Oryctolagus cuniculus: one gene and its partners. The protein of the gene in region 2 purifies or fractionates together with the protein of the main gene of each other region. This does not show direct contact. Links are inferred from orthologs where the notes say so. Each region holds a gene or a part of one and is shown on either strand. Other genes may lie near its edges.

Evidence for each region.
Region 1: the proteins of ITCH (region 2) and SMAD7 purify together in Homo sapiens (affinity purification with western blotting; 4 studies listed by BioGRID and IntAct, with this or other methods). This does not show direct contact. The link is inferred for Oryctolagus cuniculus from reciprocal best matches to the Homo sapiens genes ITCH and SMAD7.
Region 3: the proteins of ITCH (region 2) and MAVS purify together in Homo sapiens (affinity purification with western blotting; 3 studies listed by BioGRID). This does not show direct contact. The link is inferred for Oryctolagus cuniculus from reciprocal best matches to the Homo sapiens genes ITCH and MAVS.
Region 4: the proteins of ITCH (region 2) and AMOT purify together in Homo sapiens (affinity purification with western blotting; 3 studies listed by BioGRID). This does not show direct contact. The link is inferred for Oryctolagus cuniculus from reciprocal best matches to the Homo sapiens genes ITCH and AMOT.
Region 5: the proteins of ITCH (region 2) and CFLAR purify together in Homo sapiens (affinity purification with western blotting; 8 studies listed by BioGRID). This does not show direct contact. The link is inferred for Oryctolagus cuniculus from reciprocal best matches to the Homo sapiens genes ITCH and CFLAR.
Region 6: the proteins of ITCH (region 2) and DVL2 purify together in Homo sapiens (affinity purification with western blotting; 4 studies listed by BioGRID and IntAct, with this or other methods). This does not show direct contact. The link is inferred for Oryctolagus cuniculus from reciprocal best matches to the Homo sapiens genes ITCH and DVL2.
Region 7: the proteins of ITCH (region 2) and CPSF6 purify together in Homo sapiens (affinity purification with mass spectrometry; 5 studies listed by BioGRID and IntAct, with this or other methods). This does not show direct contact. The link is inferred for Oryctolagus cuniculus from reciprocal best matches to the Homo sapiens genes ITCH and CPSF6.

Annotation. Positions count from the first base shown.
Region 1 is NC_091441.1:28,938,118-28,942,136, forward strand, and holds part of SMAD7 (mothers against decapentaplegic homolog 7), read left to right. Parts: intron 1-3,243; coding exon 3,244-3,782; 3' UTR 3,783-4,019. UniProt on the Homo sapiens protein: Antagonist of signaling by TGF-beta (transforming growth factor) type 1 receptor superfamily members; has been shown to inhibit TGF-beta (Transforming growth factor) and activin signaling by associating with their receptors thus preventing SMAD2 access.
Region 2 is NC_091442.1:23,587,372-23,590,343, reverse strand, and holds part of ITCH (E3 ubiquitin-protein ligase Itchy homolog), read left to right. Parts: intron 1-2,072; coding exon 2,073-2,172; 3' UTR 2,173-2,972. UniProt on the Homo sapiens protein: Acts as an Acts as an E3 ubiquitin-protein ligase which accepts ubiquitin from an E2 ubiquitin-conjugating enzyme in the form of a thioester and then directly transfers the ubiquitin to targeted substrates.
Region 3 is NC_091442.1:29,181,219-29,185,237, forward strand, and holds part of MAVS (mitochondrial antiviral-signaling protein), read left to right. Parts: intron 1-1,265; 5' UTR 1,266-1,345; coding exon 1,346-1,462; intron 1,463-2,409; coding exon 2,410-2,584; intron 2,585-4,019.
Region 4 is NC_091453.1:80,573,422-80,577,440, forward strand, and holds part of AMOT (angiomotin), read left to right. Parts: intron 1-609; coding exon 610-732; intron 733-1,867; coding exon 1,868-2,100; intron 2,101-3,197; coding exon 3,198-3,914; intron 3,915-4,019.
Region 5 is NC_091434.1:38,896,570-38,901,301, reverse strand, and holds the start of CFLAR (CASP8 and FADD-like apoptosis regulator), read left to right. Parts: upstream 1-1,509; 5' UTR 1,510-4,732. UniProt on the Homo sapiens protein: Apoptosis regulator protein which may function as a crucial link between cell survival and cell death pathways in mammalian cells. Acts as an inhibitor of TNFRSF6 mediated apoptosis.
Region 6 is NC_091448.1:51,839,085-51,843,588, reverse strand, and holds the start of DVL2 (segment polarity protein dishevelled homolog DVL-2), read left to right. Parts: upstream 1-1,289; 5' UTR 1,290-1,510; coding exon 1,511-1,704; intron 1,705-3,762; coding exon 3,763-3,832; intron 3,833-4,504. Other genes in the region: PHF23 (PHD finger protein 23), read left to right, coding at 57-271.
Region 7 is NC_091442.1:71,555,586-71,560,318, forward strand, and holds the start of CPSF6 (cleavage and polyadenylation specificity factor subunit 6), read left to right. Parts: upstream 1-1,477; 5' UTR 1,478-1,575; coding exon 1,576-1,635; intron 1,636-4,733. UniProt on the Homo sapiens protein: Component of the cleavage factor Im (CFIm) complex that functions as an activator of the pre-mRNA 3'-end cleavage and polyadenylation processing required for the maturation of pre-mRNA into functional mRNAs.

The DNA of each region.
Region 1 (4,019 bases), on a different chromosome or scaffold from region 2:
AGACCCCCGCCTCCTGGCTGCTGGCCAAGCTCACCCATGTCCTGGAAGGGCTGAATCTTGGAACGTCTGCTCCCCATGGGTGCCTCCTATGTGCTCAGAATCCCACAGGTGCCTCTGGGACAGCCCCAGCTCTCTGGCCTGGAATGGCTTCGTACCCCATTGTTGGTCATCTTTGTCTTTCAGTTTAGAAATCAGGAAGAAGACAGTTTCTTGCTGACCCACTGTGGGGCCTTCGGGTCCGGTCACCCTGTGCCATTGGCCAGGGTCTGAGAGTCCCTGAGCTGCTGGTCTCCTGTCGGCGGCAGGAGCGCCTTGCTGGATGGTCACCCCCCACCCTCCGCCCCCTTCCCTTTAAAGGGGAGAGTTTATGCTTTCAGGAAAAGGAGGAAGGGGAAGGGGGGGAAAACACCTTAAAGGAATTTTAGGCAGACTCAGCATGTTTTTGGTGTTGCTCCAAAAATTCCCTAAAGTGTAATAAAAAGAAAACGCTCGCAGGCATTGATTAGTGAGCTTTTCTTTGGGATGCTTTGAAATGAGCACATGCAGTTGGGCAAGAAGCTGGGTGCAGTTCCTGCGGGAGGGCAGGAGGCGCTGAACACACAGGGGAGGCTGTGACCTTGAGGGCAGGGCCCCTGGGCTCTGCCTTTCGGAGGTGATGGCCAGAAGCCGAGGCTGAAGGCCCGGGGACTTCTCAGCCCCTGGCTGCCTGGCCTGGGAAGCCCCGGGCCAAGCGCCCACACCGGCCCTGTGGGGAGACTTTGTGGGCTGCGGGCCCGATTCGGGGAACTGGTCTGTGACAGTGACGCTGAGTGCTTCCCAGAAACCAGCCCGGCTGGCGGGGGCTCTGCCGTGTGGGGTGCCCCGGGAGCACCCAGGGCTGCGTGCCCCGCAGTGGATTTGCTGGGGAGCGTGTCTTTGTGCTAGGAAGAGCCCTGACAGGAGGCAGAGAGCGGAGCTGCCCTGGGGGGGGGGGCGGGAGGGGGGCACCCTGCCGGCTCTCAGGGGCCCTGTTTACACTCAGGGACACCCTTTATCTGGGCTGGGCCATTAACCTCAACAGAAAGAGGCTTTTTCCAGGAGAGGTCTGGTAGCGGGGTAGCTACGCGGGCTGCCCAGATGAAAGAGAATCCCGCTGGAGCGCCCCTCCCCGCCCCCTCCCAGCTCCCTCTGCCCCGAGAGGCCCCGCCCCTTTGGGGCCTGGCATGGGGCACCTAGGTCCTCTTCCTCCTTGCTCCCTGCCAGTGCCTGCCAGCTTCCAGTGGCGCTAGGCTGCCTGACACCCAGTGGGGCTCCCCGAGGGAGGAGTCTCCCACCCCCAGCGCCCCTGCCCAGCCCCTCTCCCAGGCCAGGTGTGTGCTGGGGGCAGCCAGGGCTTTCTCTCCGCCAGAGATCTTCTGGCTTCCGTGGCTGTCACCGGCCTCTGGTGTAGCCTTGGGAGGTGAACTCCCAAGTTCAAAGATTGCCCGCACTCGCCGCTTTATTAGCAGTTGATGGATCCTTTGCAGACGCTCGATGCCTGATGATTCACTCTTTGCTCAGAGCCCTTGCCTCTCTCATGTTTTCCCATATGTTGCAAGGTGTGTGTGTGAGAGAGAGAGAGAGAGAAAGAGAGAGAGCACACACAGCCCAGGGACACACAGTGCTCTCACGCACGCTGCCATAACACATACACTTAGGCAGCGCACGCCCGGCCATCCAGGGATGGGTGGTGACCGCCAGTCTCTGGGCATAGATTTCAAAGTTGGGGGTGGAGAGGGAGGGGGAGAGATGAGCCCTGCCACGGCCACAGCTCAGCACGCGTGTGTGTGTGTTCGTGGCTGCCTTGGTGGAGTGCAGTGTGTGCATTATTTGTGCAGACTTATTCACAGGCCACCTCCATCCAGGACTGGCTGCTGCTTTAGGAAAAAAAAAAAAAAACAGCACTAATGGAGCCGACTGGTGCCCAGGTCCCAACATGCCTGCAGAAGCTGGAATGAGTCTGTGTTAAGCTGCACCGGTTCCACAGCCCACTGGGGTTCAGGACAGGCGCCCCGAGCCCTCCTCCTACCGCCGACCGACCCCTGGGACTGGGCAGCTCCCTGTCAGGGCCTCTGGGAGCCCGGTTGCTCCCAACACAGACCCCAGCGAAACGCGAGTCACACTTCAGTCCCTGCCAGCCCACCAGACGGGGAGGGCCGGGCTGCAGGGAGGGTGGCATGCCGGGCTTTCTTGCCTCCCTCCCCGTTCCCCGTTCCCCGTTTTCTTTTTTCTTTTTCTTTTCTTTTTTTTTTTTTTTTTTTTGTTAACAAATACAAGACTTCCGGTCTCCACCCTGCCGCCACAAACCACAGCGTCCCTGCAGCCTGGCTGGGCTAGGGAGATTTATGGGCCCCAGTCTGAGGCCTGCCCGCTGGCTCCAGCTTAAGGAGGAGTCGGAATGCCAGCCGCCTGGCCCCCTGCCCTCCCTACGATCCCCCCTCCCTTGCAGGTCCCCGGAGCAGAGGGTTGGGAAAATCACCTTAACAGACTCACCCTGGGCTCTGCAGAGCCGGGTGGGGCCTGCAGGAAGGCCCTGGGGGAGGAACAGCCTTGCACTGTGCAGGGTCAGGATGCCTAGGGGAAAAGGGGGAGGGGGCACCCCTTGGCACGGCCACTGGGGCCACTTCCAGGACATGGTCCTCTCTGTTTTGGACTCCTCACCTTCTGGCTGGGCAGGAACCAGTTTTGTTAAGGTAGTCTGGCTTGATGTCCCAGTGTGTGTTGTGATTGGGCATTTTGAATTGACCCCTTTTGTGCAGAGCTGCTGGACAGTGGTGGCGGGGGACCACCAGGGTGCTGGATCTGTCTGTGTCACTGCCTGGCTCTGAGTAACAAGCTTTCTGGGTCCTGGGTTTCCCATCAGGACAGCCCAGGGCGCTGGCATCAATGGCTTTCAAAGTTGCGTCCAGTTGAAACAGCTGTAATTCCAGGCCACCTGTAACCTTAAAAGCAAGAGCCACGAGACTCAGGCACCTCTGGCCCGTGCTCTGCAAGGATGGGGCTTCCCTGGCCAGGTTGGGGGAGCTCAGGGCTGTGCACCAGGAAAGCCGGGCTCTTCTCTTACTGGGTCACGATTCCAGACTCCAGGGCCTGCAGCCGGTCCAGGACCACGGCCGCCCCTCCTCCCTTCTGCCTTGGCACTGAGTGTGTGTTTTGGTCCTAGAAGCAAAAGCAAACGCCAGTCCCCTCCGCCACCAACCGTGCGCCCCCCTTTTTGTCTTGCAGATTCCCAACTTCTTCTGGAGCCTGGGGATCGGTCACACTGGTGCGTGGTGGCATACTGGGAGGAGAAGACGCGAGTGGGAAGGCTCTACTGTGTCCAGGAGCCTTCCCTGGACATCTTCTATGATCTACCTCAGGGGAACGGCTTCTGCCTCGGACAGCTCAATTCGGACAACAAGAGTCAGCTGGTGCAGAAAGTGCGGAGCAAAATCGGCTGTGGCATCCAGCTGACGCGGGAGGTGGACGGCGTGTGGGTCTACAACCGCAGCAGTTACCCCATCTTCATCAAGTCCGCCACACTGGACAACCCGGACTCCAGGACACTGCTGGTGCACAAGGTGTTCCCCGGCTTCTCCATCAAGGCTTTCGACTACGAGAAGGCGTACAGCCTGCAGCGGCCCAACGACCACGAGTTCATGCAGCAGCCGTGGACTGGCTTCACCGTGCAGATCAGCTTCGTGAAGGGCTGGGGCCAGTGTTACACCCGCCAGTTCATCAGCAGTTGCCCGTGCTGGTTGGAGGTGATCTTCAACAGCCGGTAGCCGCGTGGGGACAGGACAGAGCATGAGCCGAGCAGGCCAGCGTTCAAACTACTTTGCTGCTAAGGTTTCCCTCCCGAATGCTTGCTTTTCATGCAGACTCTTTGGTCGTGTTTTTTGTTGTTGTTGTTTGTTCCTGTTTTCTACTCGTCATTCTTCTTGTTTGTGTTCCGTTTTGTTCTTTGAGAAATAGCTTATGAAAAGAATTGTTGGGATTTTTTTTTTTTTTTTTGGAGCAGG
Region 2 (2,972 bases):
AGACAGCTGCCCCTGGGATTGTTAATTTCATTTTTTGATTGTTGATTGCTAGTGTATAGAAATACAATTAATATCTGCATTTTCCTCTTAGACACATTTTGATCTCACCTTTAATCCCTTATTTTCCAACTTGGAACAGACTTTGCTGTGCTGCAGTTATAGTGTTGCAAACAACTTAGCTCAGGTACACCTGTAAACCAGCCTCATTACTTTGTCAGGATGCATGTTTCCATTTGCAAGAACTAACACTAGATGTACATTTCTTTTCATGGCAGCATTTTTTTTTCCCCTATGGCAAAGATTTTTCACCCTCCATTGGCTGCCTCTTTTTTTTTTTTTTTTTTTTTTTTTTTTTTTTTTTTTGACAGGCAGAGTGGACAGAGAGAGAGAGACAGAAAGGTCTTCCTTTTGCCGTTTGCGGTGCACTGTGCTGATCCGAAGCCAGGAGCCAGGTGCCTCTCCTGGTCTCCCATGGGGTGCAGGGCCCAAGCACTTGGGCCATCCTCCACTGCACTGCCAGGCTACAGCAGAGAGCTGGCCTGGAAGAGGGGCAACTGTACAGAATCCGGCAACCGGACTGGGACTAGAACGCGGTGTGCCGGCGCCGCGAGGCGGAGGATTAGGCTATTGAGCTGCAGCGCCCGCCCAATGGCAAAGATTTTTCTAAACCTTATCCTAAAAATATATGAGGACAAGGCTTTGGGACAGATTCATTATGTATTATAATGATACTGATAGGCCCCCATATTACAAGATGTCCTTTTAAAAACTCACAGCTGGGGCTGGCATTGTGGCACAGTGGGTTTAGCCTCTGCCTGTGACACTGTGACATACTGGAGCACTGATTCAAGTCCCCGCTGCTCTTCCCATTCTACTCCCTTCTGATGTGCCTGAGAAAGCAGCCATCCACATGGGAGATCTGGATGGAGTTCCAGGCTCCTAGCTTTGGCCTGGCCCAGACCAAGCTGTTGTGGCCATTTGAGAAATGAACCAGCAGATGGAAGATCTCTTTCTGACTTTCTCCCTCTCTGTCACTCTGCTTTCAAATAAAATAAGCCTTTTTTTTTTATTTTTTTACTATAAAATAAATCTTAAAAAAAAAAAAAAAAACACAGCCACCAGTAGGACAGAGAAATTCAATGGGAATAGAATATTAGAGCAGAAAATAGTTTCCTATTCTTAAAAAGGTATAATTTAGGGGCTGGCACTGTGGTGTAGCAAGTAAAAGCCACTGTCTGCAGTGCCAGCATCCCACATGGGCACTGGTTTGAGTCCCAACTGCTCCACTTCCATCTGGGGAGTGAACCGGAGAATGGAAGACCTTTCTCTAACTCTGCCTTTCAAATAAATAAATAAATAAGTATCTTTATTAGAAAAGGGGTATAATTTAAATTTTGATAAGAGACCCTATGGCCCACAGTTACTCTCTGGTCCTTTCCAGAGAACATCTGCTGATCGCTGAGGAAGATCAGAGTGAATGAGGGCATTTTAGTATGTGAGGAGCACCTGGTGCTGTGCTGAGTGCTTGTTTCTTGCCTCTGAGAGATAACTGTTGTTACTCTCATTCTCGCAGACCAGAAACTGAGACTTGGTAAGTTAGGGAGCACTTGCTTAAAGACCTGGTGACAGAGCTGGAATTTGAACCCAGTTTTGCCTGACTTTAAAATCAGTGTTGTGTGGCAGGCATTTGGTGCTTTGGTTAAGTCATCCTGTATCAGAGGGCCTGGTTCAAGTCCTGGCTCCTCTGTTTCTTGCTAATACACTCTCTGGGATGTGTGATGGTGATGGCAGGTAATGGCTCAAGTGCTTGGGTCCCTGACACCTACACTTATATGAGAGACCTTGATGGAGTTCTGGGCTGTTGGTGTCAGCCTGACCCAGTCCTGACTCTGGTGAGCTTTTTGGGAGTAAATTACTAAGTGAAAGATCTCTCCCTCTTTTCTCTCTCTCTTTCTTCCTTTCAAATGAAAATAAGTGAAATTAAAACCAGTGTTTGCTTTATTACACTGCCCATGTGATTCTTTGTATATTTCCTTTTCTCAAGCTTACAAATTTTTTTTTTTTTTCCCCAGTTTTAACCGCCTGGACCTGCCACCCTACAAGAGCTATGAGCAACTGAAGGAAAAGCTGTTGTTTGCCATTGAAGAAACAGAAGGATTCGGGCAAGAGTAACTTCTGAGAACTTGTGCCACCAAAGGATAAGAACTTACTTGCAATGCTTGTCCTTTTCCTTCTCTGCTTGTTGCACATCTTGTTGTAAAGTTGGACTGTGACTTTAGAGAGTTACTGAGTATAAGTAAATTTGTCTCCCAGTGATTCTGGATTTCTCTCCAGCACTTCCAGAAATCTTATCTGCAAATGACTTGTGAAACCTTACTTAACATGAGATTTAACAGCAATGAAATCTGCCCTGTCTTATTCTACTAGATTGTTTCCTTAACAATTTTATATTTGTGTCAGAAGTCTCACTTGGGAGTAGGGTTTTGTATTTTTGAGATTCTGCAGATATGCCGGGAAGTCCCTTAGTAACAGCAATATACAAGATCTTCCTGTTAAGCCTCTTGATGAGAGGTATATGTTAAAAACACAGGCTTGGCCCAGTTTCTGGGGATGTGAACAGACCTAGAGCTTGTGCTCTTCCTCTCATTTCAGCCTGGCCTGACTGTTTTTCCTTTCTGGAGCATGAATCCGTGCATCATTTTGATGTTATTCCTGGAAGTGATGCAAGACTCTTCCATCTCTTCTACAGAGTAGCTTTGTGTGACTTCAGGGAAAAGTTGCTCCTCGCCCACAAACGACTTCACACCTCTCCTCATTTGGAAGTTTGATTGTTTTAATTGCCTTGAAAATACTAAACTTTGCAAACAATATTGACACCATGGTTCCTTCACTGTTTCTAAAAGTTAATTTAGAATTGGAATTCATCTAGCTGAATTCATCTAAGACCATCATTGATGATATTTGTATCTTAC
Region 3 (4,019 bases), about 5.6 Mb from region 2:
GCTTTGGCTTAACCCGTGGGCCACAGCAACGGCCCCAGGCTGTTTGTCTTACTCCCTGCAGCACTTCCTGGTGGGAGAGGCAAATAGGAAACCAGCAAACACTGAGTGTGACTTGTGCTAAGAGCCGCTGAAGCAATGGCTTGTATTAGAAGCACTTTAAAAACTGTGAGCATGTGGGGCCAAGTGATGACTGTCAAAGTAAGCTCGCGGAGCCATTTGAAGGTGAGGAAGAATCTTGGAAGAGGTGCATGCTGGGTCCCGGGTCCCCCCACGAGCTCAGGGCGGTGGGGTGCAGTCTCCCTGGAAGCATGGGCACGCGGCACGCTACAGCCACGGCCCACAGTTGTGTTCCGGAAAGAACCTGGTGCTGAGGGTCCCGGCTCTTTGCTCTTCCACGTCCAGCAGCCCCTGGGCTTCTTGGTACCTCGTTTTCTCCATCTTTAAAGTTAGATGATCCTATTGCTATCAGATTGGCCTCCACCACCATCACCCCCAACCTACCCCAAAGAAGCAGTACTTCAAGATGGGGAGTTATTGCTATTGTTCTAAGGGCCTTAGAGCTGGGAGCAACTCACAGACTTGGGAGCCAGGGTCATGGACAGGGCCCCGTCCCCCATGTGCTGGGGGTACAGGCAGACCCCCTTCCATGTGCTAGGGGCACAGGCAGACCCCCTCCATGTGCTAGGGGCACAGGCTCCAGCACCGACCAAGCTACAGGACAGACATGGGCCCTGCATCACCTGCATCTCCTTTTGGTCTTCAGTTCATTGTTGAGCAAATTCTTTGAGAGCCCCTAGGATCCAGGCAATTAGGACATTTAAAGAAATTGAGGGGCCAGTGCTGTGGCGTAGCAGGTTAGGCCGCTGCCTGCAGTGCCAGCACCTCATATGGGCGCTGGTTCTAGTCCCGGCTGCTCCACTTCCAGTCTAGCTCTGTGCTATGACCTGGAAAAGCAGCAGAAGATGGCCCAAGTCCTTGGGGCCTTGCACCCACGTAGGAGACCCGGAAGAAGCTCCTGGCTCCTGGTTTCAGACTGGCCCAACTCTGGCCATTGAAGGCATTTGGGAAGTGAACCAGCGGATGGAAGACCTCTCTCTCTGTCTCTCCTCTCTCTGTGTAACTCTGACTTTCAAATAAATAAAAAAAAAGAAAGAAAGAAATTGAAGATGAAAGATAAAAGCAGAATTCCAGCAGGCTGAGCAGGAAAGAAATGCCTTTGCCCCGCCCCTCCCAGCCCCGTGGCCTTGCCTTCTGCTCTCTTCCAGTCTTCCCCGTCTCTCAGTCCATCGCGCTCGGCCATAGCGCTCGCCGAGTCCAGGGCCCCGTCTGCAGAACTTGAGCGGCGATGACGTTTGCTGAGGACAAGACCTACAAGTACATCTGCCACCACCACAGCAGCTTCTGCCGTGTGGATGTTCTAGAGATCCTGCCTTACCTGCCCTGCCTTACGGCAAATGACCAGGTGAGCCCAGCCCCCGCCGGTTCACCCCAGCCAGGGCCAGCTCCTTCCTTGCCCCTCGTGGACCAGGGGTCTTCAAAAAATTCCTAGGAAACGCATATTCGGAAACCGCCCACATGTGGATTCCAAACCTTCCTGCACCTACATACACTTGTCTTTCTGATGTTTCTGCAAACTTTTCCCAGGCCCTGTATGCCGCCTCTTGTCCCTGCTACTTGGCGCACTGTGTGGTGGGGTTGGCTTTGCCAGCCTCCCCGGCTCCCTCTTGTGTTTGATTTCGTGTAGTGCTTCGGCTGGCTCCGGTCCCACTGTTCTTCGGAGCCCTCTCTTCCCTTCCTCTAGTCCTTGTCCTGCCCAGATTTGATTCCATTCTCCTCGTCCCAGGACCCTGCCCCACGGGCCCCCATGGTTCCAACCGCACCCAGCACAGAGAAAAACGCCCCTCCCCATTTCAGCTGCTGTCTCCAATGGGAGCCCTGCGCTCTCTTTCGGGGTCTCCTGTCTTCAGGCGTCTCAGGGCTGATGGGGTTTGACCCCTTCCTCTTGTATGTTGCATCTTGAAGATCCCTTATCGCTTAGCAACCGTTTTCTGTGTTTTGCTTCTGTTTTGTGGCTTGTTTTCATTTTGCTCTGGGGGGGGTTTCTGGTCCCAGGGCTTTTGCAGGCAATACATTTTGCTTCTCATCAGCAAAGGAGAGCTAATTACAGGACACTCAGAGTCCACTTCCCGGCAGCTGCAGTTGGTCGTTGGCTATTGGCTGCTGCTCATGGCTCTTCCTCATTCTGTTCTAGGGCCCTGATCCTGGCTTTGTCCTGGGCCAGGGTCCAGTGTCCAATGGCTGCTCCCCACTGGGGTCTCTCGGTGCCCCTCTCTGCAGTTGTCACATGCTGGGTGAAGAGGCAGCCAGCGACAACTGGCTTGAGCACGACTCCGGGGCTGTGTCTTCCAGGATCGGCTGCGGGCCTCCTACACGCGCCTGGGCAACCGAGACACCCTCTGGGACCTGTTCAACAGCCTGCAGCGGCGGACCGGCTGGGTGGATTCCTTCATCCGGGGCCTGAGGGCCTGCGAGCTGCCGGAGCTCGCTGACCAAGTGGCTGGCGAATATCAGCGCCACCTGCCTCGTGAGCGTCCTGCCCTGGCCCCGAGACCCTGCCTGCTTCCTCTGCCTTCTCTACCCTCGCCTCTCCCTCCTTGGTACCTCCTGCCTTTGTCCTCACCCTCCCACCCGTCTCCTGCCATCTGTGGGTGAACCCGAGTGTGGAGCCTGGCTGAGCCTTGGGCTTTCCCTCTGTAAGATGGGGCTGATGGCAGTTTCTGCACTGGGCAGATTCTGCGGGACGGTGCGTGTCGAAGGGGCCGACTCCTCTGATTTGTCGGGCTGTGTTCTTTGCCTGCTGCCTGCTTCTGGCCTCCGGGTTCCTTCCTCTCCACACCCACGTGTCCGCCCTCCCTCTCTCCACTTTACTTCCCCTCCTCCTGCTCCCCCTGGAAGCCTTCTAGCCCTCACCCCAGGCTGCTCCGTTACCTCTCAGCTCCCTTCCGCTGCCCCTTCCTGGCCCTGGTGCTGGGGGCATTTGGCATGGTCAGGAGAGGAGAGGGCCTGGGGGAGGGAGGGAACCAGCCTTGTTCATACCAAGGGACTTCAGGAAGCTCGTGGAAAGAACAGTTTGAAAGACACGTTTATCTTGGTGCCCCCCCAAAAAAAATTAAATCCATGCAGTTTTTATAGCATGCATTTCTTTCTTCCTTCCTCCCTCCCTCCCTCCTTCCCTCCCTCTCTTTTCTTTTTTATTTTTTCTTTCCTTCCTTCTTTCTCTCTTTTGTTTTCTTTCTTTCTCTCTCTTTTTTCTTTTGAAAGGCAGAGTTACAGAGGGAAAGGGAGAGACAGAGAGAGAGAGAGATCTTCCATCTGCTGGTTCATTTCCCAAATGCCATCAATGGCCAGAGCAGGGCCAGACTGAAACCAGGAGCCAGGAGCTTCTTCCAGGTCTCCCATATGGGTTCAGGGGCCCAAGCACTGGGGCCATTCTCTGCTACCTTCCCAGGCGCATTAGCAGGGACCTGAATCAGAAGTGGAGCAGCAGCCAGGACTCGAACCAGTGGCCAGATGGGATGCAGTGACTTTACCCACTATGCCACAGTGCTGGCTCCCATAACATGCGTTTCTGTGAGGTTTTTTAATTAATTAATTTATTTATTTATTTTGCCAGGCGGAGTGGACAGTGAGAGAGAGAGACAGAGAGAAAGGTCTTCCTTTGCCGTTGGTTCACCCTCCAATGGCCGACGCGGCTGGCGCGCTGCGGCTGGCGCACCGCGCTGATCCGATGGCAGGAGCCAGGTACTTATCCTGGTCTCCCATGGGGTGCAGGGCCCAAGCACTTGGGCCATCCTCCACTGCACTCCCTGGCCACAGCAGAGAGCTGGCCTGGAAGAGGGGCAACTGGGACAGAATCCGGCGCCTCGACCGGAACTAGAACTCGGTGTGCCGGCGCCGCAAGGCGGAGGATTAGCCTAGTGAGCCGCGGCGCCGGCGGTTTTTTAATTTATTTTGAGAGG
Region 4 (4,019 bases), on a different chromosome or scaffold from region 2:
CAAGAGAGCAGTCACTTAGGGTAGACTCATTGATTTGGTGCAGAATGTTTCAGATTTAGATTACATAGGAACCCCCATTGTTACACACCCAAAGACCCTCTTTTCAGCTCACATGGACTACCCAGTCTTTGTTGTTGACCTGTTCATTTGTTTCCAATGCTCAGGCATAGATCCCAACACTCATCTGTGGCAATAAGCTGACTTCCTTCAATGCCTACCCTTTTCCTTTTCATGATGGTCACTAGAATAAAGTAGAATGTAAACATATTCTTATTGTTTGGCCATGACCTAAAAACTTGAAGGACCATATTCCACAAGATTGGGGGTAGATATCTGTCCAGTTCTGAAGGCAAGCCTGTGTACATCTCATAGAATCTCTCAGTGACTCTTGCAGCTGCATCCATGCCAATAATCTCTTCATCTACTCTGGGAACTGAGACTTTTTTTCTTGGAAACTCCTACCAGTAAGTCACACAGAAACTAGCTGTTCCTAATGCGATTGACTTCAGCTTAGGGCTTTCCAGCAAAGCCTCCTTTACCTTGGGGTGGAGATAGCATTCATTTCTTTTGCTGCCCTCCTGTCATCATCACTGCCATTTTCCTCCCCAGGGATGCATCGGTCATCAGTCATTCTCCTAACACCAGTTATGACACAGCTCTTGAAGCTCGCATCCAGAAGGAGGAGGAAGAAATTTTGATGGCCAACAAGCGTTGCTTGGACATGGAGGGCAGGTATAAATGTCAATCTGGATGAAGATGAATCTGAGAATTTGGTGTAGAGACCAGATAGGTCAGTAGAGAAGGACACAGATATTTAGCGACAACTGGGAAGCCTGCTCACCCAGAATCCCCCTACCACCTTCACCTCTGCTAGCCTGTTACTTAGGGTTTGAGATGTGATGATCTTTACCTTGAAAATTCCTACCAATTGTTGAATTCTAAATAGTGTTGCTCTCCCCTATGCCTTCCTAATTGTGTTCCACCTGCCCTCTGCCAAAGTTCAAAGTTCAATTATTGGCATTTATACTCTGGATCATTCTTTGCAAAAAATATACCTTTAAGCCTATGATATAGCAGAATTCTTTTTTTTTTTTTTTTTGACAGGCAGAGTTAGACAGCAAGAGAGCGAGACAGACAGAAAGGTCTTCCTTCTGTTGGTTCACCCCCAAATGGCTGCTATGCCAGCGCGCTGTGCCGATCCGAAGCCAGGAACCAGGTGCCCCCTCTTGGGCTCCCATGTGGGTGCAGGGCCCAAGCACTTGGGCCATCCTCCACTGCCTTCCCGGGCCACAGCAGAGAGCTGGGCTGGAAGAGGAGCAACCGGGACAGAATCCGGCGCCCCAACCGGGACTGGAACCCAGAGTGCCGGTGCCGCAGGCAGAGGATTAGCCTAGTGAGCCACAGCACTGCTGATATAGCAGAATTCTTAATGAAAGAACATCCATTGAAACTGGGATGTAGGACTCCTGTTGCCTCCTGTAAACTTATAATCATTTATTATTACTGGAAGGCTATGGCTCATTAATAGAAGACCTCATCTTCTCATGGAACACATTGTTTTTGTTGACTCAAATTCTTCACAGCAGAGCCTGCCACACCAGTTCATTCTCTCCTACGTGGCCTTTCTTTTCACCAATACTTTACTTTGACCTTCTAAGGTGTAAGCAGCCACTCATAGATGCTCTACTGGGTGTTCAGGAAAACATTAAAAAAGTCATAGTACACCATTCCATAATATGCACTTCAGAATGAACTAGGCTACCCTTTAGTCAAAAAGAGAATGGGAAATCAAGTACTTGTAGGCAATGAGACCAGAACACAGAGGTAGCTCCAAGGTCTTTATATGTTTTTTGTCTTTGGTTCCTAGGATTAAGACCCTGCATGCCCAGATTATTGAGAAAGACGCCATGATCAAAGTTCTCCAGCAGCGTTCCAGGAAGGAGCCAAGTAAGACAGAGCAGCTGTCATCCATGAGGCCAGCGAAGTCTCTGATGTCTATTTCCAATGCTGGCTCAGGCTTACTCTCCCACTCATCCACCTTGACTGGCACCCCTATCATGGAAGAAAAACGGGAGGATAAGAGCTGGAAGGGGAGCCTAGGTAATGACAACTAAGGAAGATTATAGTCACACATTTAAAAAGATCTCCATATAGCAAGGAAAAAGGGTGACGCCCAGGTTCTAGAGAGGAAGATGTAGCTGGTCAGGATGTTTTCCTCCTGAATGGTTAACTACATATTGTAGAGCTCTGCCACACTGGGAAGTCTCATGGTGAGAACAATTAAAGAGGCCAGGGCCTGAGAAGATAAGAATTCTAAGTTCTTGGGTGGGAAGGGAGATAGCATCAGTGGCCTCTTAAAAATTTCTTCAATTTGGTCTTTGCTACACAGAATCCTTGTCCATGTCCAAAGCCCATGTGCCTCTTGTGCCATTCACAATTTCAAAATTCCAGCATTTCTTTGTTCTTTTCTCCCCTACAAGAGGACGACCCAGCATTCTACTTAATCAAAATCAATCTGGGTCGCAGGTTTTTGTTACCAGAACATTCTGATATGAGAACAGAATGTACTTTTTCCATTCCAAGCCTGTCCCTTCCATCCCCACTAATCAAAACCTCCAAAGTATTGTAGATACCATGGTACATTTTTAAAGCATGATGAAGGGAGTCATGTATATTTATTTACTTTAGCTCTTTGTGATGCTTTTTCACCTTTCTTGGTCCTCTGACACTTGCAAGTTCCTTTGCTTAGACCAGAGAAAGCATTTGGGAACCATGCTCATGTTCAGAACCATAGATCACACAATTAATAGCAGACTTATCTGTGTCTTAAGACTTCTTCCTCTGGTCATTTCCAGCTCTCTGGTAATGTGTGGTGTTGGTTATAAGTGGAACCGAGTGGAAGAATTCTTTCTAATCACCATTGGGAAAAATAAAACAGATACTCAGAACACTTCACTGTTTAATGTGTTGTGCTGGGAGTTGGATAATGAGGACCAGGGATCTTCCAAATCTAGAAGAAACCATTAGCCATGGTGGAAAATGCTGATAAGCCAACTCCTGAGTTTGCTGGAGGCAAAAAGGTTAAGAATTTAGGCCCACTCAAATTTCTCCTGAAGTCCTGAAGAGAAACAGATAATCAGATGTATGGATTAGAATACTGTATTGTTTCCTAACCTCTCTCCCTTGTTCATTTGCAGGCATTCTCCTGGGTGGAGACTACCGTGCTGAGTCTGTCCCTTCCACACCTTCGCCTGTGCCCCCCTCCACTCCCCTGCTCTCGGCTCACTCCAAGACAGGCAGCCGAGACTGCAGCACCCAAACTGAACGTGGACCGGAACCCAACAAGCCTGCAGCTGTTACTCCCATCTCTGTTCCTGCTCCAGTTGCTGCTGCCGCCACTGCTGCTGCCATCACTGCCAACACTGCCACTGCTGCCACCAACACCAACACCATGGTAGCTGCTGCTCCAGTCGCGGCTGCTGCTGTTGCTCCAGCTGCCACTGCTGTTGCTGCTGCCCCATCTCCAGCAACTGCTGCTGCTCTTACTGTTGCTGCTTCTCCAGCTGCTGCTGCTCAGATGCCAGCTGCTGCCTCTGCCACCACCGCCACTGCTGCTCCTGCTGCTGCTCTTGCTCCTGTTGCTGCTGTTGCTGCTGTTGCAGTTCAGGTTGCTCCAGCTGCTCCGGCTCCGGTTCTAGCTCCAGTTCCAGCCCCGGCTCTGGCCCCAGCAGTGGCTCAGGCTTCTGCTCCGACTCAGACTCAGGCACCAACTCCTGCTCCGACTGTGGCTCCTCCTGCATCTCCAGCTCCAGCTCCAGCTTTGGCTCAGGCTGAGGCTCCTGCAAGTCCAGCCACTGGTTCTGGATCACGTCGTTTGTCTATACCAAGTTTGACTTGCAATTCAGATAAGACAGGTAATAATTCTCTACAGCAGGGAGCTTTTGGTACGGCTCTCAAAACGCAGGTTGATTTGTGGGTACCTGCTGCTCAGGCAGAGATGGTCATCTGGACTGAGCCCT
Region 5 (4,732 bases), on a different chromosome or scaffold from region 2:
TCTCTCTCTCTCTCTCACTGTCTAACTCTACCTGTCAAATAAAAAAAATTATACAGGGAAAAAGAATAATTTCAAATGGAGAAACTTGTCAGACATGGCAATAATAAAGTGAAAAATCAAAGTGAACATTATCAGTTTTGTGCCACCTGACAGGATAAAATAAGAAGAAGAAATTGCTCCTGTGATATTTTGCTTAAAATCTTATTTTGTCTGATATCAGCATAGCCACTCCAGCTTTCTTTTTTTTTCTTTTTGAAAAATTTATTTTATTTATTTGAAGGGCAGAGTTGCGGGAGGAGGGGAGGAGGAGAGAAAGAGAGAGAGAGAGATGTCTTCCACCTGCTGGTTCATTTCCCAGATGGCTGAAATGGCCAGGGGGATGGGTCAGGCCTTGTCCAGGAACCACAAACTTCATCCGGGTCCCCACATGGGTGCAGAGGCCCAAGGATTTGGGCCATCTTTGCCTGCTTTCTCAGAAGCATCTGCAGGGAGCTAGATTGGAAGTGTTGTAGCCAGGACTGATGCCTGTATGGGATGCTTTAACCATTATACCACAACACGGGTCCTATGAATTCCTAGATTCTAAATAACTTTCATCATGGTATATTTTCTGAATTTTATTTTCCTATTCATAATTGTTGTTAATATCTTACTGTGCCTCATTTATAAAATACTTTATCAAAGGTATGTGCATATAGGAAAAAACACAGTATATGTAAGATTGGGTACTCTGTGTATTCAGGCCTCCACTTGCAGTCTGAGAACACACACACAGACAGAGACACATGCACACACACACACCAGTAATGGGGAACTGCTGTAGTCACCTCTGTAACTCCTCTCCTGCTGTTCTAGTCCAAGGCTGTATCAGCATCTGCCTGGGAGAACCCTGGTACTCTCTCTGAAGTCTTCACGTCCATTTGTGCCCCTTCAAATGTGTTCCCCCAGGAACTGGACAGTGTCTTCCACATGCTAATATGATCCCAATGCCTCTACTCCATCTCTGTGTGTGTGTGTGTTTTAAGATTTATTTTAATTTGAGAGTCAGAATTACAGAGAGAGGGAGAAAGAGAGAGACATCTTCCATTTGCTGGTTCACTCCCCAGATGGCTGCAATGATCAGGGCTGGGCCAGGCCAAAACCAGGAGCCAAGAGCCTCATCCAGGTCTCCCATGTGGATGCAGAGGCCCCCCCCCCCCCCCCCGCTGCTTCCCCAAGTAGTTTAGCAGGGAGTTGGGTCAGAAGCGGAGCAGCCAATGGAGGAACCAGTGCCCATGTGGGATGCCTATGCTGCAGATGGCGGCTTTACTCGCTACGCCACAGTACTGGTTGTTCTACTCCATCTTTCACTTAAAATACTAAAGTCGGGCACCTTTACTCAAAATTTCAAGGGTTCTTGCTGTATATTTAGATCAGAATTCTAAATATCAGCTGCTTATAAATGAAACAGGCAACATGGTACAGTTTTCAGCCTGTATTCAGTGAGAGAAATACACAGGAAAGTGAGGGTTTTTTTTTTTTTTTTTTTTTTTAGGGGAAAAGAAGTCTAGAGTAGAAAGAAGTCTAGAAATTAAGTTGGGTTGATATCAGGCAGAGAGCAGGTAGGGAACCAGGTGGAGCAAGTGTGCAGTTAGGAGCAGCCACAGGTAATGTAGCGTGGGCAGAAAAGCAGAGAGCAGGCAGCCAGAGGCCACAAGCCCAAGGCTTAGTGAGGTGGAATAAGGCCATGCCAAGATGGCCGCTGGCAAGTGAGTGTCAGTTACTCAGGAATGGCTTTGAAACCCACCTGGCAATGGAGCCTGCCGGGCAACAGGCTGTGATTGGTTAGGGCATAGACCGCCCCTTGACCGGATTGGCTGCCTTGGCTATATAAGCTGTTGTACCAACTGAAATAAATGAGCCTTCGGGCTGCTCACCTCTGGCCCACTTTCACCCAACTCTCAGGGTCGTATGGTGACTTGCGCCTCTTGCCCCCACCACACTCCTCATCTCAGAACGAATCCATAGCAACAGCGTGGGACAACAAGGGGCCACTCCAGCTTTCTTTTGGTTGCTGTTTGCATGATACGTATTTCTCCATTCTTTAACTTTCATCCAATTTCTATTTTTTAATGTAAAGAATGCCTCCTATAAAGGCATACAATAGGAACATAGTTTTTGTTTGTTTGTTTGTTTGTTTGTTTAATGCTATATAGCAACCTCTGTCTTTGGATTATTTAATACCTTTTCATTTAATGTTATCATTGACTTAGTTGGATTTATTTATGCTATTTTACTTTCTGTTTTCTATGTTTCAGGTCTTTTCTGTCCCTCTAATCTGCCCTTCTGTGTTTTGGAATTGTTATTTTTGTCATTATTTAGTGTTTGCCCCAGATTTACCGTATACATATAATCAGAAGTAGGTTCAAGTTTATACTAGCTAGTTGCAGTTATTCCTGTATACCTGTATTCTCTCTTCTTTTCTTTTGTGGTATTTTACACAACATATTTAACATTAGTTAATGTTACACACCTAACAGGACATTGTTATAATTATTTCCTTACCATTTGTTCCCATTGTCTTAGTCAAATACAACTTTATTTCCACTCACTGCCTTTGTGCTATTATTGGAGGTTTCACATGTATTACATTCCTATATGTTACGGGCCCAACATTCCATTTTTTATACAATAAGTTAATAAGAGAAAATATTCACTTAAATTATCTTTTACAACTAGTTATAAAATTATCTCTCTGGTGCTTTTTGCTTTGTTTTGTTTGTGGATTTGAACTACTGCCTGGGATCATCTGCTTTCATCTGAAGAACTTCCTTACGTGTCCCTGTAAGACAGGTTTGCTAGCGTAACTTCTCTACTTTTTGCTCCCTTGGAAATGTTTTTATTCCACCTTCATGTTCATAAGACTGCTCTGCTGAGTAAAGGATTTTTGGTTGCAGCTTTTTCCTCTGGGAGGTTTGACTGCAATTTCCAGTGCTGCTGGTCCTTAATACTTTTACTGAGAAGTCATTGTTGACCTTACTGATGTTTACTGGTAATTAAGGAATTGTTCTCTTGCCCCTCTCCCCACCTGCCTTGTCTGACTTTGAACTTTTTCACTGTGATGTGTCTGTTGTGGATCTCGATGTGTTTACCTACTGGGACTTCGCCGAGCTTCCTGGGTGTGTAGCTTCCTGTTTCTCAATATATTTTTGAAGCTTACTGCCATTAATCCTTTGAATAGATTTTCCCCCCTTTGTCACCTTCCTCTCCTTCCAGTATCCTTATTTTATTGGTCCCACATTTCTCTGACACACTTTTCATTTTTCTATTCTTTCTTTCTGTTTCCCTTGGCTTTGTGTAGTCTCAATAGATTTATCTAAAAGTTAGTTTATTCTTTTTTCTACCAGTGCAGATTTCTTCTACTGTGGGGCCCCTAATGAAGTTATTTCAGTTACTATACTTTACAGTATTTCCAGAATTATGCTGTCCAGAATTTCTATTTGGTTTATTTTTATAATCTCTGCTGCTTTATTGATATTCTTTATTTGATGTAACATCAAATAGATATTATCATTGTAACTTCCTTTACTTTGGTTATACTTTTCTTTAGTTCTGTAAACATGTTTATAATGGCTACTTTGAATTCTTTCAAAATGATAAATCCAACATCCGGTCATTCTCACAGGTGGTTTCTGTGCTGGATTTCCCCTCGCCCCTGCTCCAGTGTGTGGGTCGTATTCTCTTGTCTCTGCGCGCCTCATAATCGTTTGTGAAAGCAGGGCACTGAACATAATGCACTGTAACAGCCCTCAGGACTGGTCTCTCCCCAGTTACTGTTACAGACTGTCCTGGTCTTCTGATGATTTGACTTAACACTTTTCTGGCTTTAGATATACAAAAGTGGTATGCATTTGAGAAGCAGCTGTACTTCAGATTTCGAATTTTGATCTGTTCCTAGGGTGGCAATATGGAGTACAATTCTCTATCATGATATTTTCAACAGTAGTAAGCCATATCTCCCACTAGACCACGGATCACAAGGGTATACTGCACTGGGTTGCTAAGCTGTGATGGTTGGTAGGTTAGATGTATTAAATCCATCTTGACTAATGATAGTTTCAACTTTTGGTGGGTTTGTAAGATAAAAACCCTATCATAAATTGAGAAGCATCTGTTTTTGCTTGTTTAGTGACTGCATTACCTGAGGCAAATTCACTGCATACCACCAGCACCACACACAGTTTTAGTTTTTTAAAGTTGTCACCTTGGATGGCAGTGGCTTCTGACAGAGCTCTCTTCCTCTGGTTCCCTGACCACCTCCAACTGTTAAACTCCGCTAACTGCTGGCTTTGTTCCTTTGTTTTTAACAGTACCCTGGATATAAGTAACTATATAAACAAATCCAATCAAATGTGTACTCCTTTGAAGGAACAGGTATTAGTTGTTTCATATTTTATTTGTTCTTATCCAAGAAGGGCTCCCCACCCAGCTGTATTTTTTAAATTATTTATTTATTTATTTTTTATTTATTTATTTGAAAGGCAAAGCAACAGAGACAGAGGGAAAGATGAATGGGAAAGAGAGAGAGAGAGAGTTCTTTCATCTGTTGGTTCACTCCCCAAATAGCTGTGTGGCAGGGCCCCAGGGACCAGTGTCATCCTCTGCTGCCTTCCCAGGCACACAGCAGACAGCTGGATCAGAAGTGGGCTAACCTGCAGTGCCATAATGCAGGCCCTGCTCCCAGCCATCTTCA
Region 6 (4,504 bases), on a different chromosome or scaffold from region 2:
GGGGTGTTTGGATCCAAGAGCACAGGCAGGACATCCAGCAAACCTTCTTTCCCCAGGTGATGACTCATGGGACCTGATCACGTGTTACTGCCGGAAGCCCTTCGCAGGGCGGCCCATGATCGAGTGCAGCCTATGTGGGACGTGGATCCACCTCTCCTGTGCTAAGATTAAGAAGACCAATGTCCCTGACTTCTTTTATTGCCAGAAATGCAAGGAACTGCGGCCTGAGGCGCGGCGGTTAGGGGGGCTTCCCAAATCTGGAGAGCCCTGACACTGCCAACTCCAGGCTGGAACTGGCAAGTGACGATTCGGGAACTGAGCCTCGGGGGCTTCAGCCCATCCCCTGGAGTCTGGATGTGGTCCCCGCTTCAAGGCAGGAACGCCCAAGGCAGACTTCGGAAATGAGTCTCACGGTCCCTCCCTCCCCTCCCTCCCCAGCCTGTGGACTGGAGTGGACGTTGCGTTGGGCGTGGGAGGCTGTCGGGGGCCCCGGATGCAGCATCTTGGACCTGCCAGGGTTGGAATTGGGATGGACTGGGACAGCTGTCTATAAACTCTAGTGTAAATATAGCATTCCCCTCCCTCATCTTTTATTTTACTCCCAATTTATTTTCTTCTACACCGGTTGTATTTTTAATGTTGGACTTCCTCTTTCGAGCGTGGCGGCTCAGAGGTGGAGTGAGCCTGGCCAAGCGAGCAAGGAGAGCGGCAAGGTGACGGTCCTCACGCACCTCTTGTTTTTACTACTGGCCAGCCGTTTGTACAGACAGCCTGCGTGTTGTAAATAAAGCAGAGTGGGCTCTTTGTGTTTCTAGCCCTCCCTGACTGTCCTGCTTGGGGGGAGGCTCTGGGGGAGCTGGCCGCAGGGCACAAACCCACCTCGGCGTCCGGGCCTTCCCGCGCCGGGACACAACCCCAGGGGCTCCGTCGGCTTCTTCCCTCCACGCGCGCCCGCGGTCCCGCTGCTCCTGCACGGACGGTCGTGCGCAGTCGCTTCGCGTTCCCGCCCGGACGGCGCAGGGCGCCCCCCACCCCGAAGACGGAGGTCCCCAGGACACGGTGCCAGCCGGGAGGACCTCCGGTGGGGGATACGCTCGGGGGCGGAGTGGGTCGGGGCTGGGAGACCGTTGCTGAAGGCAGCGGTCACGTGGAGGGAGCGCTGGGAGGAGCCGAGTAGTCACGTGATGGCGGAGGGGTCACGTGGCGAAGGGCGGTGCAGGGAGCGCGAGGTGGGCGGGCTCGGGCCACGTGACATGAGGCGAGGTGGGCGGGGCCCTGGAGGGCGCTCGCGACGTCGGCGGCGGTGGCGCGCGGCGGCTGAGTGCGCCGCTCCGGGGCGCGTCGCGCGGCCCGCCACCCTGCCGCACCCCGCCGCCTCCCCGCTGCCCCACGCCCACACTGGCTCTGTCGCGTCCGCGCTCCGGTCGGGGTTCGAGTGTGCGCAGGCGCGGCGGGCCGCAGATAGCCCCACTGGGTGGGCGGCGGAGCCCGGGAGCGCGCGGGCGAGACCATGGCGGGCAGCAGCACGGGGGGCGGAGGCGTCGGGGAGACGAAGGTGATTTACCACCTGGATGAGGAGGAGACTCCCTACCTGGTGAAGATCCCAGTCCCCGCCGAGCGCATCACCCTTGGAGACTTCAAGAGCGTTCTGCAGCGGCCCGCGGGTGCTAAGTACTTTTTCAAGTCCATGGATCAGGATTTCGGGTGAGCGCGAGGCCTAGCCTGGGACTGACGGGGGCTGTACCCGCACGGATGGGGCGTTCTGCAGGGGGCACGGGTCTGCTCTGGGTTACACGGGTTTTCTGGCCTTCAGTGGATCGGATTGTGCCACACTGAGGCAGAGTGGCCGTCCCAGGACGGACAAGGTTATGCCTGGACAGATGGATGCACACGGAGCGATAAAGTGGAGAAGATTGGGCCATATGGAATAGGTGGGGGCGCGCAGGTTGGTTTTGGGGTGGTCGGGACTGAGCGTTTTCCTGTAGCACACAGCTTGTGTGGAGACAGCCTGCAGTCTCTTGACATAGCCGGGCTTGTGTTGGCGGCAGTTGGAACGTTGTGGCAGAGACAGGATTGTTTGGGGACTCCATGGAGTGTATGCATGCTAATGCAAAAAAAAAAAAAAAAAAAAAGTTGCGGTGTTCTAGGCTGCCTTGGAGTGGGCTACTGGACGGGCTGGGGTCATTCTGGTCTCTTGGTTGATCCTAACCTAATAACTCTTCTTCGGCACGCATCGGGGCACTTAGTACAGGGCAGATAAGGCTGTTGGGGCTTTTGCTAATACAGACAGCTGTATTGGGATAGTCTAGTCTATATTGGTGCAGACAGCTGCATGCAGGGACGTTGTAGGCTGTGCTAGAATAGATTGGGCTATCCTGGGGTAATTTGGGGATTCCTGGACTTGACTGGGACTGTAAATAACATATTCGAAGCCCTTTTGTTTTTCTCACTTTGGGGAATGACCACTCTTGTTTTGACTGCTCAGTTGTTTCACTGGCTGGCTAGATTGTGTTGATGGCTTGGATTTTAGGGGGACGGAACAAACTGGACTCTGCCTAAAAAGGTCGTTCAGCGTGGGGAGAGTGACAGTTGTCTTGGGAGTTATCTTGGGCTTAAATCAAAGCTCTTGGATTGGTCAGCAGTGTAATCTTGGGCAATTTCATTTACCTTTGTGCGTTGATTTTTCTCACATTTGAGATAATCACAGAGTGAAATGCTTAGTTCCCGCGCTTGGCACATGGGAAACTCTTGGGGCGTGGTCATCGTTGTCCTTGGCATTGAGGCCCACAGGTCCACAAACTCGGTTGTGGTGATACAGAATAGCCTGCCGTGGAGTGGGTTGAGCTGTGCCAAGATGGGTTATATTGGGAGAACACTAATTACACTGAAACAGATTGGTAGTGGCTGGGCCCTGTTGTCACATAACTAGCAAATGGATTCAGTTGGTGTATATACACACTCCCAGAGGCATATTAGGCTAAAGGGTTAATCAGACAAGATGTTCTGATTTGGGGAGGGGAGAGGGTGTGTTTGTGAGACAGAGGAGAAACCAGAGAATCTATTGGTTTGTGTGTTTTGTTTGTTTAGTCAACAAGTGTTAATGCTGCGTGGTCAGGGCGTGGTGTACAACAGAATGGGTGCTGCTGATTGCAAGGGGTGGTTGAGAAGAAAGGGGGGCAAGTCCAGTCCACTACAGGGAACACAGGGGAGCTGGTGGGGCTTTGGGGTCTTGAGACCCAGCATGTTGTTGAGAGCAGAGTTCTTCCAGGGGAGGCACAGGGGAACGGGAAGCCTGGCTTCCTCTCTTCTTCCCAGCTCTCAGCCTAAGGAGATGCTGTTGGTTCCTCTAATGGGCTTTTGTCCCCTGACAAAGACAGCACATCTGGACCACTCTCTGGAAGTGGATTAGAAAAAACTAAAGGGAAGTGGGAGAGTAGAAGCTTGTATGAGGTTGGGGAAGGTGTGTACGGAACAGGGCTGGGTTTGGGGACGGCTACCAGCAAGGCTCACTGGCAACCAGGTAACCACAGGGGTTGGCCTTCCAGTCATGCTGCAGGAAGTCTTTGGAGCAGCATTGCCCCTGAGGGCCAGCTGGGGCGAGCAGGCGAAACGTGGTGGGAGTGGGGTTTGGAGGTTGTTTCCCTAGGAGAGAGGGGGAACGAGGCAGGGGGTGGCCGGCATCCTTGAGCTGGGTGAAGACGGAGAAGCTGGCGGCGGGGGTGGCTGACCCAGCCTCGCTGACCTCGTCCTGTCTCCCGGCAGGGTGGTGAAGGAAGAAATTTCAGATGACAATGCCCGCCTGCCCTGCTTCAACGGAAGGGTGGTATCCTGGGTAAGGGCCCATTCCCTCTGGGTTCCCAGGCTGCTCCCAGCCTCATCTGTCTGTAGCCTCTCCCTGCCCAGTCATTGCCCTGGCCCTTTGCCTCCCTCCCTGTTTGGAGAGCCAGTGGGAGCTCCTCGGCTTTCTTCTGGAGCCTCTGCCATGAGGGGGCTTCAAAAACGTTCATGGGAAATGCATAGTATGAGAAAAGGATGCGTGGGCTTCAAAACAGGGTGCGTGGGCATGCGTCAAAATAAAGTTATTATTACTTTTTTTTTTTTTTTTTTTTGACAGAGTGGGCAGTGAGAGAGAGAGACAGAGAGAAAGGTCTTCCTTTGCCGTTGGTTCACCCTCCAATGGCCGCCACGGCCGGCACGCTGCAGCCAGTGCACCACGCCTATCCGCAGGCAAGAGCCAGGTGCTTCTCCTGGTCTCATGCAGGTGCAGGGCCCAAGCACTTGGGCCATCCTCCACTGCACTCCCGGGCCACAGCAGAGAGCTGGCCTGGAAGAGGGGCAACCGGGACAGAATCCGGCGCCCTGACCGGGACTAGAACCCGGTGTGCCAGCGCCGCAAGGCAGAGGATTAGCCTAGTGAGCCACGGCGCCGGCCTATTGTTACTTTTAAAAATGTATTTGAGAGACAGCCGTCTCCCATCTGCTTATGCATTCCTCAAATTCTGGC
Region 7 (4,733 bases), about 48 Mb from region 2:
TGCTGCTTTTCCAGACACATTAACAGGGAGCTGGACATACGGGGAGTCGGCATTGCAGGCGGCAGCTGAATCTGCTGTACCTCAACGCCAACCCTATGCATTTCAAAAAATTAGAGACTGGGTTTAGCACTGCGGCGCAGAAAGGGTTCTGACACAGTGGTTTGGTCACCGCCTGTGACGCAGGCCTCCCAGCTGCCCCCACTTCCACCCCAGCTCTCTGCTAAAGGCCTGGGAAAGCAGGGAAAGGCCCTAGTGCTTGACCCCCTCGCACTCTTGTGTGAGACCGGGAATCATCTCCTATTAGATGCTGTTGTGCTCTCCCTCTCTGGGACTCTATCTTTAAAATAAACAAATACATTTTTTAAAAATGCCTGAGATTGAAGATGAGAGCAGATAATTCAACTGAGGTCTTCTAGCTGGTAAAACGTCTCAGTAGAAATTTGCACCTTAGAGACTTGCATCCATATCCCCAGATGGGTCTCCCCGAATGCAACCAAGCTTTCCCAACTACAATATGTACAAATGTCCCCTGGCTTATTATATTTATTGTGCAGATGATTTCTGGCCAGTCTGTACCTGAGGAAACATTCTAACCTGATGGGATTTTAAATGAGTGAAAAAGAAAGAAAGGTGGGGAGGTGTTCCAAATTAGAGAGGCATTTTGAATAAATCATTGATGGCAACAGGCTCTCACGGGAACCCCGGTTGAATCGCTTAGGTTCTCCTGGACCTGTTTTCTCACCTGTAAATGAGCTATTTGTACCTAATGACACTCTTCCCAGTTCCCTTCTGGCTGGGTCATTCTATAATTCTAAGAGAGAAGGCTCCGGCCTCCAGCTACCTTGACTTTGCTGGGTGGGCTCCCAGGTGATTGCATTCAAGTGAGAAGCAGCTGAACTACGCCAGCGAAAACCTACTGCAGAGCTAAGCAGGGAAAAAAATGAAGGAGGGAGACGGGAAAGTGGCCAACGACGCCTGGCGAAGGAGACACAAACTGTATGCAAATAGCTCAGACCACCAACGGGTCCGTAGCGTGCACCAGGCAGAGCCGAGTGCTGCCCCGGTAGGATGCAGGAGGACATCGCTCCCCGTCTCTCGGCGCTCCCAGTGCCCGGAGCGTACGCTTCGTATTTGCGCGTGGAATGCGAACTTCCACCACTGCTAGAAGCCCTGAATGTGAGAAACGTAGGAAAAACGGAGGATCGAAAAAAAATTTTTTTGGGGGGGGAACCATTCGAGGGTGCCAGGAGCCACGCGAAAAGGCGGTCTCTGGAAACCAGCGGTATAGGCCGGCAGCGGAGGGACACGAGTTGTCCACGCCGCGCCCCCTCCCCAGCCCAAACCCCACGCACAAAACAAACGGCCGCAGCCGTCGGGAGGAGGCGCAGCTCCTCCTCCCAGTCCGCACAGCGGCCCCGCTGCAGCGCCCTCGCCGCCCGCCGCCCCCGCCTCGGTCCCTCGGGCCTCGGAAGTGACGCAGCGCGCCCCGCCCCCGCCGCCAGATCCGCTGCTGCTGCCGCGGCGGGCGGATCTGCAGGAGGCGGCAGCGGCGGCGGCGGCCGAGGCCGAGGGAAGATGGCGGACGGTGTGGACCACATAGACATTTACGCGGATGTGGGCGAAGAGTTCAACCAGGTACGTGTGGGCCTGGGCCCGCGCCGCCGACGCGGGCGACGCTGCGGCCTGGACGCCGCGCCGGGGGCCCGCCGCGGGCCGCGAGCCGACGCTGCTGCAGACCGTGCGCCCTTGCCGCCACTCGGCCCCGGCGCCCCCCTCGCCCCCTCGTTCTACCGCGTCGTTTCGCGGGCCGCGGGCGCTGCGAGCCGCCGCAGGGCCTGGAGCGCGGTCGCGGGCCGCCGTGCAGGCGCCGCTGGCCCCTCCCTCGCCGCCGCGGCCTCGGGGCTCCCCATTGTTGGCGGCGGCCGGCGAGCGCTTTCCCGCCGCGCTAGGCCCGGGCGGCGGGGCCCGCGTGTGCGCGGCGGGGAGAACGGGCCGCCGCGCCCCCTCCCCCGCCGCCGGCTGGAAGAGGAAGCCCCGGCGGGGCGCGCGCCCGCCGCCCCTGCCGCCCCTGCCGCCTCTTCCCCGGCCGGGCCGCTCGGGCTCCGATTCCTCCCGTCGCTCCATTTTGTCTCGCTGTCCGCGCACGGCCGCCTCATGGAAGGCCGCGTTCACGACCCTTTGTATTCCGCGCGCCCCGTCTCCGGGACGCTCCCGGCCGCTTTCGGCGTGGCGCCCTCCTCCTCGTGCCCGTCCCACTTGGTGCAGGCGCCGTCGGTGCCAGCACGTTTGCAACAAGTCTTTGGATTTGGGGCGCCCGCCGCTTGCGTGCAAAAGCCCGTGCCCTGTTAATAACAGAGGAGCTTGCAGTGCATCCTAGTCTCAGCCGTTCTGGGCCTTTGTGTTGAAAATAGCCGCGGAGATAAGTGGCTGGGGCCGCGACCAGGAATTGGAGGCGCGCAGTGGGGTTTGGATGAAACAAAAAGATGGTTGCTCACGCCCAGATGAGCGTGATGAAGACGTAGACAAGGTGTAGTTTCAAAATACGGAGTGCGAGGTGGGACCCTGTTTTCGGAGGCTCGTGGTTGATCCCCCACCCCACCCCCGCCCGGGCTCTGCTTAGGGTTTGAAAGGCTGCAGGAGGAGCCGGCCAGGTTTTCCAGTGTCCCATCGGACACGGTTGCCCGCGAGAACCAACTGGCCAAGCATCCTGGGAAAGGAACTCGTTTGTTGCTGGAGTAGTGACGTTTGAGCTCCGAGCCTGCGTTTTCTCTAGTCTCATTTTTTTTTTTTTAAATACATGTATAGTGCCCAACTGCAGTGCACCCTAAAAGCTTTTTTTTATGTCTTCCAGGTCCGCATACGAAGTTTTAATATCCCCATGGTTAAAGTGGTTTTTTTTTGTTTTGTTTTGTTTTCTCTTTCCCTCCATTAACAGTTTTACAAATATGCAGACTCAGAATTACTGTTCTGTATCTTAGGAATGACTGTGTCTCTGGTTTAAGTATTAGAAAAGATATTTCCAAGTGGCTTTAAGTGTTTCCTATGCTGTTAAAGACTGTATGTGTTTAAATGTAACCCATTGTAGTCAAATGTGAAGTTTGAAAATGTGTTTTTTTTTTAAAACTATGCTTACGGTTTGAATACATGATGCCAATTACAGGTTAGAAAATTTCCTTGGGCTACACAGTGTTTTAAAGTTGGTAGACAAAGACCTCTAGGAAGTGTCTTTTATTTATCCAACGAGTATAACATTGCATCCAAAAGAGGGCCTGTAACTGCAAGCAAAGGAGCAGTTAAGTTCAAGACTATCTTGGTTGAAGAAAATACATTGCTTCACCTTGCTACGCACAGTGAAGGAAGAATTGCATGATTTAGAAACTGAGCTTTCTTCAGTGCCTCTTCATGAAATATTTTTAGGCTTTTTCATACTTAATTTATGAAAGACTTCTCGCTTATCCAGATAACTGGATGGAGTGATACTTTCTTATCCTTGTGCAGTAACTAGTGTTGAGTAAGCAGGAGGTAAGACATAAAATTTTGTGGACCTACTTTATAGATTGGCTTCTGATCTGCCTGTTGTGGTAATTCTGGTGCACAAAATGACCACGGAAGAGTTGTTGGGCATTTCCAATGGGGAAAAAAATCTTCAAAATAATTTTTCGAAATCTTATTAAAATTAAAGGTAACCACAACAGTTTTTGTGATGGGTTTATTTCATCTGTACTCCGTTATGAACCAGTTACCTTGTTTCTACTAATGGCTTGTAGTAAACTATGACATTTGATTGATAGAATGTTGTACAGTACTGATTTAACCAGTCTTTATTTTGGCTCCTATGTTGCTGTAAACATTTATAAAAATCTTTGTTTTTCCGTTGTGAACTGCAGTTTTAATGGCATTTGTATACTTTGGGATTATGTGTTGTCTGTATATTTTCCATTTTCTTGTTTTAACTGGTCATAGCTTTTATGAAATTTGTCGTCGTTTTTATGTTGCTAACGTTACTTTCACACAGTGAGACTTTCAGCAATCCTAGAAGAAACTTTATTTTGTTTGGGGATGGGGTGAAAATAAGTTAGTGAAATTGTAGTAGAGTTTCTTCTCCAGATGAATTTAAGACTAGAGAATGAAGAGGAGAAGGCACAAGGGACCCGGCTATTTTTCATGGGTGCTCTGCAGTTCTTAAATTGAAGGTCTTTGGATGTCACCGTATTGAGAGCATTTACTTCAGTCGAAGGAGAATTTGAATTACTTTCCTTTTTTAAAGAAGATTATTTATTTGAAAGAGTTACAGAGAGGAGGAGAGGCAGAGAGGAGTCTTCCATCCACTGGTTCACTCCCCAGTTGGCCGCAAGGGCCGGAGCTGCGCTGATCCGAAGCCAGGAACCAGGAGCTTCTTCCTGGTCTCCCATGCGGGTGCAGGGGCCTGAGGACTTGGGCCATCTGCTGCTGCTTTCCCAGGCCATAGCAGAGAGCTGGATAAGAAGTAGAGCAGCTGGGTCTCGAACCAGCACTCATATGGGAAACTGACACTGCAGGCGATGGCTTCACCCTCTACACCACAGTGCCAGCCTCATGAACTACACTTCTAAACTATACTTCTGTGTTACCTGAATTTGGAGTTGGATAGAAAGCAGTTCTGTGTATCAGTTTAAAGAGGATTTGTACTCAAATGTAGTACTTAGTAGGTTAATTTAAAATCCCTTTTTTCACAATTTACTCAATTTGGGAGG